Linked DNA regions of Nothobranchius furzeri. The protein of the gene in region 1 interacts with the protein of each later gene in a biochemical or structural test. Links are inferred from orthologs where the notes say so. Each region holds a gene or a part of one and is shown on either strand. Other genes may lie near its edges.

Region 1 (3,654 bases):
AATAAAATGTCTTCATCAAACAAGGTAAATATAATTGAGTAATAATTTAAAACATATCAAAGAATAATAATCTTGTTTGGATTTAATAATAAAAAAAGCCTCCACTTTACTTTTTATTTAAAGGTACGTGTCCATACCTCCAGCTCATTTTCATCAAAGATCTTGATCAAATCGATGGGAATGAGTTCTGTGAAGCCCTGAAAATAAAATGATTAATAAAATGATTAAAGTTGTAAATCAGTTAAATAAACATAAGGGTAAGGTTTGGAAACCAAGGTTAGTCTGTGGTTACATCGCCCCCATGTGGTAACTTTTAATCACTACACATAAATACCTCTAAGAAGGCATTCATCTGCTTCTGGACCCGGTTGACGAATCTCCACTGGATGACCAGGCTGACAGAAAAGATAAATGACAACGGTTTGACAAATATTCCTAAAGAAGAAAAGAGAGGAGGAAGAAGAAAGCCTTACTCTATGTATTCCTTCTTGTTCTCATTGGTGACCACCATGTCTGAGCCGCTGGGCTTCAGGTCCACCTGATAAGTCTGCAGACCAAAGCAGAAATGATGAAGGTCAACAAACTCCTGATGCTAAAGCAATTGATGAGGTCTAGGCTGCGTAAATTAACCAATGTAAGGCCAGCACACCTGTCCAAAGTTGTCCTCGTCAATACAAAACCTCAGGTCAAGCTCTGTGGGATCGTTCTCCAGAATCCACTTCAGTGAGTTATAGTATTCACTGTCCTGCAGGGACAAACAAAGAGCTGTAAGTTTTTGTTTTATTTTGTTAAATTTTAGGCCTTATATAAAGCCCAAGTCTCCTTCCTTTCTGGTCGGCTCATGGGTCCCCCGGAAGATCAAAAAAATGAACACAAGTCAACGGGGCTAAAAGTGTTATTTTCTAATCTGCTTCGTCTTACGCCCTGGATCGCACATGTTGTACTGCAGTTTCAATGAAAAGTAAGGATTGGTATTTCGACCATGCCAGTCACGTACTTTGAGATTTGTTAGCTTGTAAGCATGACTACAAACTAGAAATCGCACGTCGCATATTTGACGTCACCACATCATCTCCTCTCCCCTAACGTAGCTGCTGCTTACTACATGGCCAGATTTATGGTGGTTCATTCCTCCTGTGGGAAGTTTGCTGAACTTACAGCGCTTTCCCCTCCGTTTTCTCCGTGTCTGGTTCGATGACGTCGCTTTCGTAAAGCGCATTTGTAGTCCTGGACTTATTTTCACACCAAACCTAAAATATCGTACCCCCTGTTCGAAAATAAGCATTTTCTTGGTAACAAAATGTGTGTAAAAATTTCACGGACATCATATGTGAAATCCATGGCACATGACAAGCGAATTAGAAAATAGCGTTTTTTAGCCCCATTGACTTGCATTCATTCTTTCGTTCTTCCGGGGGCCCACGGTCTGGAAGTAGATGGGCGTGACTTAGGCTCCCTATTCTTGGAACACTAAAGTTTTAAAACAGAAGAAAAAAAAACCAAATATGAAAATAAAAACATGAAGCTCTTCTGAGTTTTAACATCTTAAGGAAACATTTGTCAATAAAAAGTATGTTTCTGTGTATATTTATAAATAACTATCTTTCCAGCGTGAACATCGACGCGACCTACACTCGTTTGGTTGAGCTGACGGATGAACGGACTGATAGTGTCCTGGGTATAAATATTTTTTGACCAACAGTGGATCCTTTTACTTCCTGGCTTATTTAGTGTCAATCAACTTGTGTTAGCATTAGCTCAGTGTTAGCGCAAGCTACGGCAGTGTTGTTTATGACGGCTGTGATTCTGCTTTCAACCAGTAGGAGGAAGAAGTGGGAAAGTTATTAAAATGATGGTGTGTATTTCCCTGTCAATAAAGGGCAGGACATACCTAAATCATTGCAAGCAAGCGTTATTTTTGTGTTTGGGTAAGACCTTACCGACGGAGGGCCATTAGGGTCAATAATCCTGGGAGCGCAATTTTCGAACGAATTTTGTCAGATCGTTCAACCTCAAGCAAGCACATCAGACTCCCTGTAGGAGCCATATGTGTCATTTCTTTTTGTGCACTTGAGAGGAGGCTTGGCCTAATATTATTGGTTAATTGCTTGTGGAAGCACCAGCCTACTTAAGCCAACACAGATTGGACTCAGGGGTGGCTGGATGGGACAAACAGTTTTTTACTGTGTGGCGAGGACTGTGGCTGGGTGTAACGGACTCTGCGGATTGTCACTGGGGCAAGTAACGCATGCACTGAAACCCACTTTAACTGCTGTAAATGGATCATCATGGACATTTTGGAACCAGACAAAATAATAAACATCATCGGAAATAAACTCAAGCTGCATTTCTTAAAGCGCACGTAAAGACCACCCGCAACAGCTACCAGGTAGTGCCAGTGTATAGGGCACTGGCGCTACACTTCAAGGTAAAAAACTGTCCCGTCGGCGAAGGAAGTTTAGCGTCCTCTGCAATCAAGGCAGCAGAGACGTAATTGGATCAGCTGTTTCCTGATCACTGGAGGAACCGCGCATTTCAACGGCGCGTCTGGAAGAAGCACGGAGCGTCGAGCTGTCATTGGGACAGAAGGCGTTTCTGCGTGGGATCTGGCTGTCCTTCCCTCATCGTAGAACGAGCAGCACATCAGCAGACAGCGGCGGGCGTTCTGTCATTGGGGCAGAGGTGTCTTCGTTGGATCAGCTGTGCGGCCTCGTCACTGAAGGGTCAGCGCGCGTCAGAGAGCGGTGCGCATCTGAAGATCGTCGCTGGAGCGGCGGGCGGCAGACCAGCGCACATCAAGGAAGCAGCTCAGCGCAAAAGGTGTGGCACGCGGCGGAAGAAAGGCGGGCGTTCTGCCACTGGGGCAGACGTTTCAGCGTTGGATCCGCTGAGCGACCTCATCGCTGGAGCGGCGGCACGCAGCGGAAGGAGCAGCGAACTCCCTGCCACTGGGGCAGGCGTCTGGCAACCTCATCGCTGGAGCAGCGGTGCGAGACAGAAAGAGCGACTCGCAGCGGAGCACCGCTCATCAGAGGGGCGGCGGGCATCCTGTCATTGGGGCAGGAGACTTCAGCGTTGGATCCACTGAGCGACCTCAACGCTGGAGCGACGGCGCGCAGCGGAAGGAGCAGCAAGCGTCCTGCCACCGGGGCAGGCGTCTGGCAACTTCATCGCTGGAGCAGCAGCGCGCAGTGGAAGGAGTAGCTCATCGCTGAAGAGGAGGTGCGCATCGAAGGAGCGTCATCGCATTGGAGGAGCAACAGTGCGGTAAAAGTACATTGAAGCACAAGAGGTAACCTCGAACACTGGGCTTAGCCATTAAAGAATAAAGACAGTGACTTGTGAAGGTGAAATTTCTTAAGGGTTTTGTTTGGACAAAGGTTTAAGACATTCCACTTGTCATGGCAGAAGAGGAAAATGTTGGTGTTGAGCTCCAAGGGGAACAGAACTTTGCTTTGGAGTATAGATCAGCTGAGAAAAGGGAAGTTAAATTAACAGCCAAAGCTTTGGTCATGAAGATTGGTAACTTAGAAGAAGAAAGGAAGAAAAAGCTAAATAAGCTTAGCAAACTAAGACAAAACATCAACTTACTGAAAAATGAACGGTGTTTAAATGAAGCTGATTCTGAGTATAAAAAGTTCTTGAGTTTGCATG
Region 2 (4,123 bases), on another chromosome or scaffold:
GAATTATCATTTCAAATTAAAGTACTTAAAATTTTATATTTATTAATATTATTATTAACAACAACAACAACAACAACAATAATAATAATAACAATGAAGTATGTCCATTAAAATTTTTCAGGATAAAGCAATCCCATTTTCATAATAATGTGTAATGCTATAGAACAAATTTGGTAATTCACAGTTGAGTACTGCTTTTGTAAAATTGTTACGTTTTAAAATATATTAATTAAGCTGAGTTTCATTTGTATAGCCAACAAGCACAATGATCACAGTGCTTTACAGAAAAAACCCCCAATAAAATTCAAATCAAGTTTAAGTAAATCTAGTAAAATAAAGGATTATTGTGATTTATCAATCTAATAAAATATAGTCAATTAGAATTCAAGAAATTATAACATCATGGATTAATGCAAAGCTAAAAATGCGGAATCATGAGATTTTTAACACACCAATGGTACCCAGGTGGGTGCAGGGGTGTCAGTTGTGAAACCCCAGGGATTAGTTATCTCGAATATTTTTATTAATCAAAATACCATACTATACCATTCTATTTTTATTTATATAGCGTGTTTAAAGATTGCATGGCAGCTAACCAATGGGGTGTGCGTGGAAGGAGCAAGATGCTCAGACAGAACAAAAACGGCGTTCCCAAAGTGACAAGAAACAAACATTAAAAATAATTATTTTGAAGTGATCATGAAATGTAAAAAAAAAAAAAAAAAAACCTAAATAATATTTTCAATGACATTATTTGCCTTTTTAAAACAGGGTTTATTTGTCTTGCTTAAATAGAATATGATGCCTCAGTGAACACCCATTGTGCTTTAGGGCATAGTGACTACTATTCTATTCTATTCTATTCTATTCCATTCTATTCTATCATATCATATTGTAGCATATCATAATCGCTGACTTTAGTATTTGTTAAAAATTGTAGCAATCTTGTTTTTTTACTCCAACCACGAAGTGCAAGTGGCTCTGTGCAGCTTTTTATTTTGTTTATGTCACCATAAATGTGTTAATTTTAATGCACTTTGATATATTCTTAAGCATTCTTTACCCCGTGTGTTTTGTTGCATTTAACGGAAAACGTTGGGAAAGTGTTTTACTTTGAAATGTCAGATCGGAAGCGCCCCCCCCCCCCCCCCCCCCCCCCCCCCCCTCCCAGCCTGGTTGACTGTTGCTCAACGTTGGCTTGTCTATTTTCCTCAGCGAGCTCATCGGGTCAGCAGCCATTTCTGTCGCCGTGTTTCTCCTCCTTTGTGGAATCAAATCTTTCCGTGACTGAGAACTCCGAGTGCATTCACAAGTCAGGCTCGTATTTTTGTTTTCTGGCCTGGCTTGTTTGCCGGCTGAATCTAGTCGGGATGGACCCAGCAAGCCGATACCAAGTGGTGAGTAAATCCCGAAGAGCAGGGATCAAAACAGTGGTGGATTACTCGGCCTTCTGCTTGAACCAAAACGGGCCTTGTTTTAGAAACATAAAAAAATATTTGCGCTTTAGTTGTTTAACTCCAACTTATTTTATTTACACATAAATACTCTCCAAAACCCTCTACCTAATTACTCTAGTCGTTTTTTATGTTTAACAAATAGCTTAAGTCTTTTGTTTTGATATGTGACAAACTACTTCCGCATTGGCTAAGCTAACATTAGCCGGCACGGCCTTACACGTTTGAAAAGATGTGTTTTTTTAAACAATTTATTTCCAAAATAGTTTTACAAAGTTTAAGGGACATTAAACAGTCCTTTTCACAATTTATGACAATATTAGATAAGCCTGATAGCACGTGTTTTAGCATAGAAGGGACTTTTTGAAGTTGCTTCCGTTATATATATAAAAAAGAAAAGTCCCGGAACATCTTAGGTGTGTTCTTGATGTGTCTTTCTAATTCCATGCTTTCGTTCTTTTTAAACACAGAAACAGTTTTGTTTACCTGTTTTGTAGAAAAGTCCCGGAGCGGAAACGATAGGCGTGTTTTTAAAGTGTCTGTTTACTTTGTAGATTTTAATTGCAGTACAATTTAAAAAAAAGGTACTTGAATATCAGGTGTGGTTTAGCTCAAACAAATACGTATCAGTTATTTTTAAACGGTGACATTTAATATAAAGTCAGTTTTTTTCTGCTTGTGGTTGTTTTTTTTTCTGTTGATTATCCCGCAGGGTAGCTCAACAACACACCAGCTTCCAGGAATTAGGTGGCCAGGGTCTTGACCGCCTCCTCTCAGCTTTCTGAGGGCTTGGGGGGGGGGGGGGGGGGGGGGTATTTGGACACAGAAGGCGGTTTGTGGCGGCGTTGTTAGCTTGTTATGTAACGCTTCATGCACTGATCCGTCCTTGGTTCAGAGCCACTCGTCCACTCACCGCCGGAAAGCAAATTCTCAACTTTATCATGACAAACACATCTCTGAAGCTTCTCCAGGTATTAGTCACATCCTTGGTTAGGACTAAGGGTGCTTCCCTTGTTTAGAGTTGAAAGAAAATTGCCCTTTCTTCATGCAGAACATTTTTTCACGATCCTTATTTTTTAAAGTCTACATCAGGACAGGACTATGCAAGAAGATTTGTTTTTCCAAAACTCTGACTTTTGTTGTTGCTATTTTTTTTGCAATTGTTTAGTGGCAGCTGCCTCCCTACTCACCCAGGAATTTGATTTAAGGCTACAAACAAGCTGAACTCCCTCAAGAAACGAGGTGGAAAAGTTTACCAACCTGCGTTATTTTTATTCAGACGAAGAAAATGTTAAAGATTGTGATTTTGATGTTCTCTCAGGGCTCCTTCCTGGCTTATCTTTGGTTTACGAATAGCGCTACGTGGTTATCTGTGGTTTTGGGTGACGTCTGATTCGGCCTCGAAGCGAATTTAGAGCTTAGAAACTGTGAAACCACAGTCTCATGCTCAGATTGTTGGGTAAAAGAAACAAAAATGTCCCATTGAGTCAGCTCGTCTCAGCTTTGTTGACACGTGAGAGTACAGACTTGCCTGTAGATGTTTTTCTTCTGAAGGTGAGAAGGACTTGTTCCCTCGCTTCACCCTCCCAGAGTTCATTCCAGGCACTCTACCCATCATGTCCCATCGCTCCTCTGTAATTTCAAACGGCTCTTGACTCTTAGAAGGAAAAATGGGCCTAACTTTGCAGCTGGGCCTCTTGGATTTGGCGGAACGCTTCATTTGGTGATTGCGTTTATGCAGATTGCTTTTCCAGAGACGTACCAACGTGGCCTCTGGTGTCCTAACGCGTCAAACGCTGCCAGTACTCCTGTATTTATTTATTTATTGGAGCAATCCTGTGATAATTCAGACCTTTTTTTTTTTTACATTAGCAGTAATTTATCAGCTGTTGACCTCACTTTTCACTTAACCAGGACACTTGGATTATGCGCAGATTAGCTTTACTGTTAACTCATTCACTGCCAGCCGTTTCCTGATCGCTAGTAGCCTTCGATGCCAGCGTTTCTCACCGTTTTTACTGTGTTTTTAAGAGTCACGGAACGTTGCGCGCTAGGATGATGTCGATGCCAAAACTAAGAGGAGACTCACCTCTTACATCAGGAAGAAGCCGTGTGTTTCGAGCGTTATCCGTTCTTTCATAATCCGTTGTCGACTTGTGATCGGCAGACGCTTTTCCGGTTCGCGCCTCACTTTTTTTACAGGAACGGCCCAAAACGATCTCCTAATACATGGATGTTCTGCTTCCTGATCACGTGACGTGTGACGCATGTGGATGAAGAACGGCTTCAGGGCTGAGATGTTTGTTCTCTCAGCGCGGGGGCTCGTTCCGATGCTCAAACAGTAAAAAAATGCAAATGACGACTTTAGTCGTCAATAGCAGTGAATGAGTTAATGCATCTTCCAAAAATCAATTCTAAGCTAGAGACGTGACGTTGATAAAGGTTTTAGTTCCACTTCAGCCCTAAATAATCACAATAGCAGCATAATTGATCCTAAAAAAGAGCAATATTTAAATTATCTTCTCATATTTTACAAGCATCCAGCGGCCTAGAAGTCTAGACAAACCGTATCGGTAGCTAAAGGGTTTTGCTCTGCAGGTTGGTCTAGCCATGCTCCGTTGGAGCTCAGCAGGTCTGCCATTGGCTCAGCGAAGTTCAGGCTTGACCAA
Region 3 (2,404 bases), on another chromosome or scaffold:
CGCGGCTGTGACGCAGAGGGAGCGCAGCGGACGCTGATTGGTGAGGAGGTCACCACCTTAGTGTCCCGCCCACCAGAAAGTGGGTATCAGCAGCTCCTCCCTCCCGGTTTCTGCTTATAAACCAGGAGCTGAAAGTAAAAGGTTAGATTCTGGGCTTGAGCAGCTGATGAGAGCTGCAGCTGAGCTCGCCATGACGGTCAACACAGAAACAGAAAAGCCTGTCTTGACTTACTCTAAAACTAAAGGCCTTGTGGAATTACTCACTGGTACTTTGATTTAATTTTTTTTATTGTTTGGAGCATCCTGCCCTTTCATTTTTGGCATTTTGATCTTAATTTCTCCTGTTTTTGTTTGTGTTTTTGCAGCTTTTATGAAGCAGAGGAGGATGGGTCTGAACGACTTCATTCAGAGGCTCGCCACCAACTCCTACGCCTGCAAGCAGTGAGTACCATCTGAGTCATGTTATTGTTCTGCCTCCACATTCGGTCAAATCGTTGAAAAACACAAGCTGGAATGCGAGGGATTTGTCTTCTGAGGACATTTTGTGACTCAACCGGAGTCCTAGATCAGCTGATTCATCTGCTAAACAACAGAGGATTGTTTTCTTTCGCCATATCACAAACTACTTTTTGTTTCTGTTTTTCTTGCAGCCCTGAAGTTCAGTCTATTCTGAACTTGAGTCCTCCTCAAGAAGCAGAGCTGATGAATGCAAACCCTTCTCCTCCTGTAAGTAATTATATATAATTATATTTGCAGGGATGCACAGATGCGTCCTCTGGATGTGCTTCACTAACTTTTCTTTGCTCCGCGTTCCTCCTGCAGCCCAGTCCATCCCAACAGATCAACCTTGGCCCGTCTTCCAACCCCTCCGCCAAACCCAGCGACTTCCACTTCCTGAAAGTGATTGGAAAAGGCAGCTTCGGCAAGGTGCTGCTCGCGCGTCACCGCTCCGACGACCAGTTTTACGCCGTCAAAGTGTTACAGAAAAAGGCCATTCTGAAGAAGAAGGAGGTACAACGTAAAACACTCACGCACACGGGTTCCGTCGCGTCACAAAGCCTGTTTGTATAAACGTCTCTGACCTTTGCACTCTTTTCTTTTCAGGAAAAGCACATCATGTCAGAGAGGAATGTGCTCCTGAAAAATGTCAAGCACCCGTTTTTGGTGGGCCTGCACTACTCGTTCCAGACAGCAGACAAACTCTATTTTGTCTTGGACTACATCAACGGGGGAGAGGTGAGCAGAGGACACGCCGAGACACAGAAAAGGCTCTTTTAAACTAAATCTTATCACAGATGAGATAGATGGGGAAATCCTGTTATCTGAGGCAGAATAGAAGTTGTCCCTTTCTGTATTTTTTTATAAACTAAAGGAAACTAGCTCAGGAAATGAGAGGTTGGGCTGGGACAGCCGGAGAAACTCGGCGGCCAAATTTTGCTTCTAATCGAGCTAATTTCCTGTGATTGTTGCACGAGGAAAGACACTGATGATTAAATATGGACTTCATCAGGAAGCAGGGCACATTTACTCTCTTTCTTCTCTCGCCCCCCCGGCCCTAGTGTCATCTGTCTTGTGAAACTTTTAAAGCTGTCGCCTTCCTGCCTTTTTTATTTCCTCCCATCTTGTTTCCTCTACTTTTTTCTCTTAGTATTTTCCTACCACTGCTCTTCTTCTTTTGACACCTAATTTCCCAGCAGCAGGCTATTCTCTGCAGGTTTTTCATGATGTGTTTTTCTGTTTTGCAGCTGTTCTACCACCTGCAGAGAGAGCGCTGCTTCCTGGAGCCCAGAGCCAGGTTTTACTCTGCAGAAATCGCAAGTGCACTGGGATACCTGCACTCCCTCAACATCGTCTACAGAGACCTGAAGCCAGAGAACATCCTGCTGGACTCACAGGGACACATCATTCTCACCGATTTTGGGCTTTGTAAGGAGAATATCGAACCCAATGGGACCACGTCAACTTTCTGCGGTACACCAGAGGTAAGGAGAGCATATTTATTCACAAGTGTCGTGCTTTGAGGCTCTTTTATAACCTACGTTGTATTTCTCCAGTATTTAGCTCCTGAGGTGCTACACAAGCAGCCATACGACAGGACAGTAGACTGGTGGTGCTTAGGAGCTGTTCTATACGAGATGCTCTATGGTCTGGTAAGCCACGCGTCATGCATTTAACATATTCATGTGATTGCTAAGTTGCTTACTGGTTCTTTTTGCCCCTCGACAGCCTCCGTTCTACAGCCGCAACACAGCTGAGATGTACGACAACATACTGAACAAGCCTCTGCAGCTGAAACCCAACATTTCCAATGCAGCCAGGCACTTGCTGGAGGGCCTGCTGCAAAAAGACCGAACCAAGCGTCTGGGCTGCACAGATGACTTTGTACGTGTCCCTGCAACTGCTT

The links.
Region 2: of the proteins of nedd4l (region 1) and ndfip2, one has a biochemical effect on the other in vitro, tested with the Homo sapiens proteins (2 studies listed by BioGRID, with this or other methods). The link is inferred for Nothobranchius furzeri from reciprocal best matches to the Homo sapiens genes NEDD4L and NDFIP2.
Region 3: of the proteins of nedd4l (region 1) and sgk1, one has a biochemical effect on the other in vitro, tested with the Homo sapiens proteins (5 studies listed by BioGRID). The link is inferred for Nothobranchius furzeri from reciprocal best matches to the Homo sapiens genes NEDD4L and SGK1.

What each region holds. Positions count from the first base shown.
Region 1 is NC_091746.1:58,541,543-58,545,196, reverse strand, and holds part of nedd4l (E3 ubiquitin-protein ligase NEDD4-like), read right to left. Parts: intron 746-3,654; coding exon 650-745; intron 548-649; coding exon 474-547; intron 396-473; coding exon 335-395; intron 198-334; coding exon 138-197; intron 1-137. UniProt on the Homo sapiens protein: E3 ubiquitin-protein ligase that mediates the polyubiquitination of lysine and cysteine residues on target proteins and is thereby implicated in the regulation of various signaling pathways including autophagy, innate immunity or DNA repair.
Region 2 is NC_091754.1:54,373,632-54,377,754, reverse strand, and holds the start of ndfip2 (NEDD4 family-interacting protein 2), read left to right. Parts: upstream 1-1,220; 5' UTR 1,221-1,370; coding exon 1,371-1,397; intron 1,398-4,123. UniProt on the Homo sapiens protein: Activates HECT domain-containing E3 ubiquitin-protein ligases, including ITCH, NEDD4, NEDD4L, SMURF2, WWP1 and WWP2, and consequently modulates the stability of their targets. As a result, may control many cellular processes.
Region 3 is NC_091742.1:623,028-625,431, forward strand, and holds part of sgk1 (serine/threonine-protein kinase Sgk1), read left to right. Parts: exon of another isoform or gene 1-166; coding exon of another isoform or gene 167-266; intron 267-365; coding exon 366-441; intron 442-650; coding exon 651-726; intron 727-822; coding exon 823-1,011; intron 1,012-1,104; coding exon 1,105-1,236; intron 1,237-1,745; coding exon 1,746-1,982; intron 1,983-2,054; coding exon 2,055-2,150; intron 2,151-2,226; coding exon 2,227-2,382; intron 2,383-2,404. UniProt on the Homo sapiens protein: Serine/threonine-protein kinase which is involved in the regulation of a wide variety of ion channels, membrane transporters, cellular enzymes, transcription factors, neuronal excitability, cell growth, proliferation, survival, migration and apoptosis.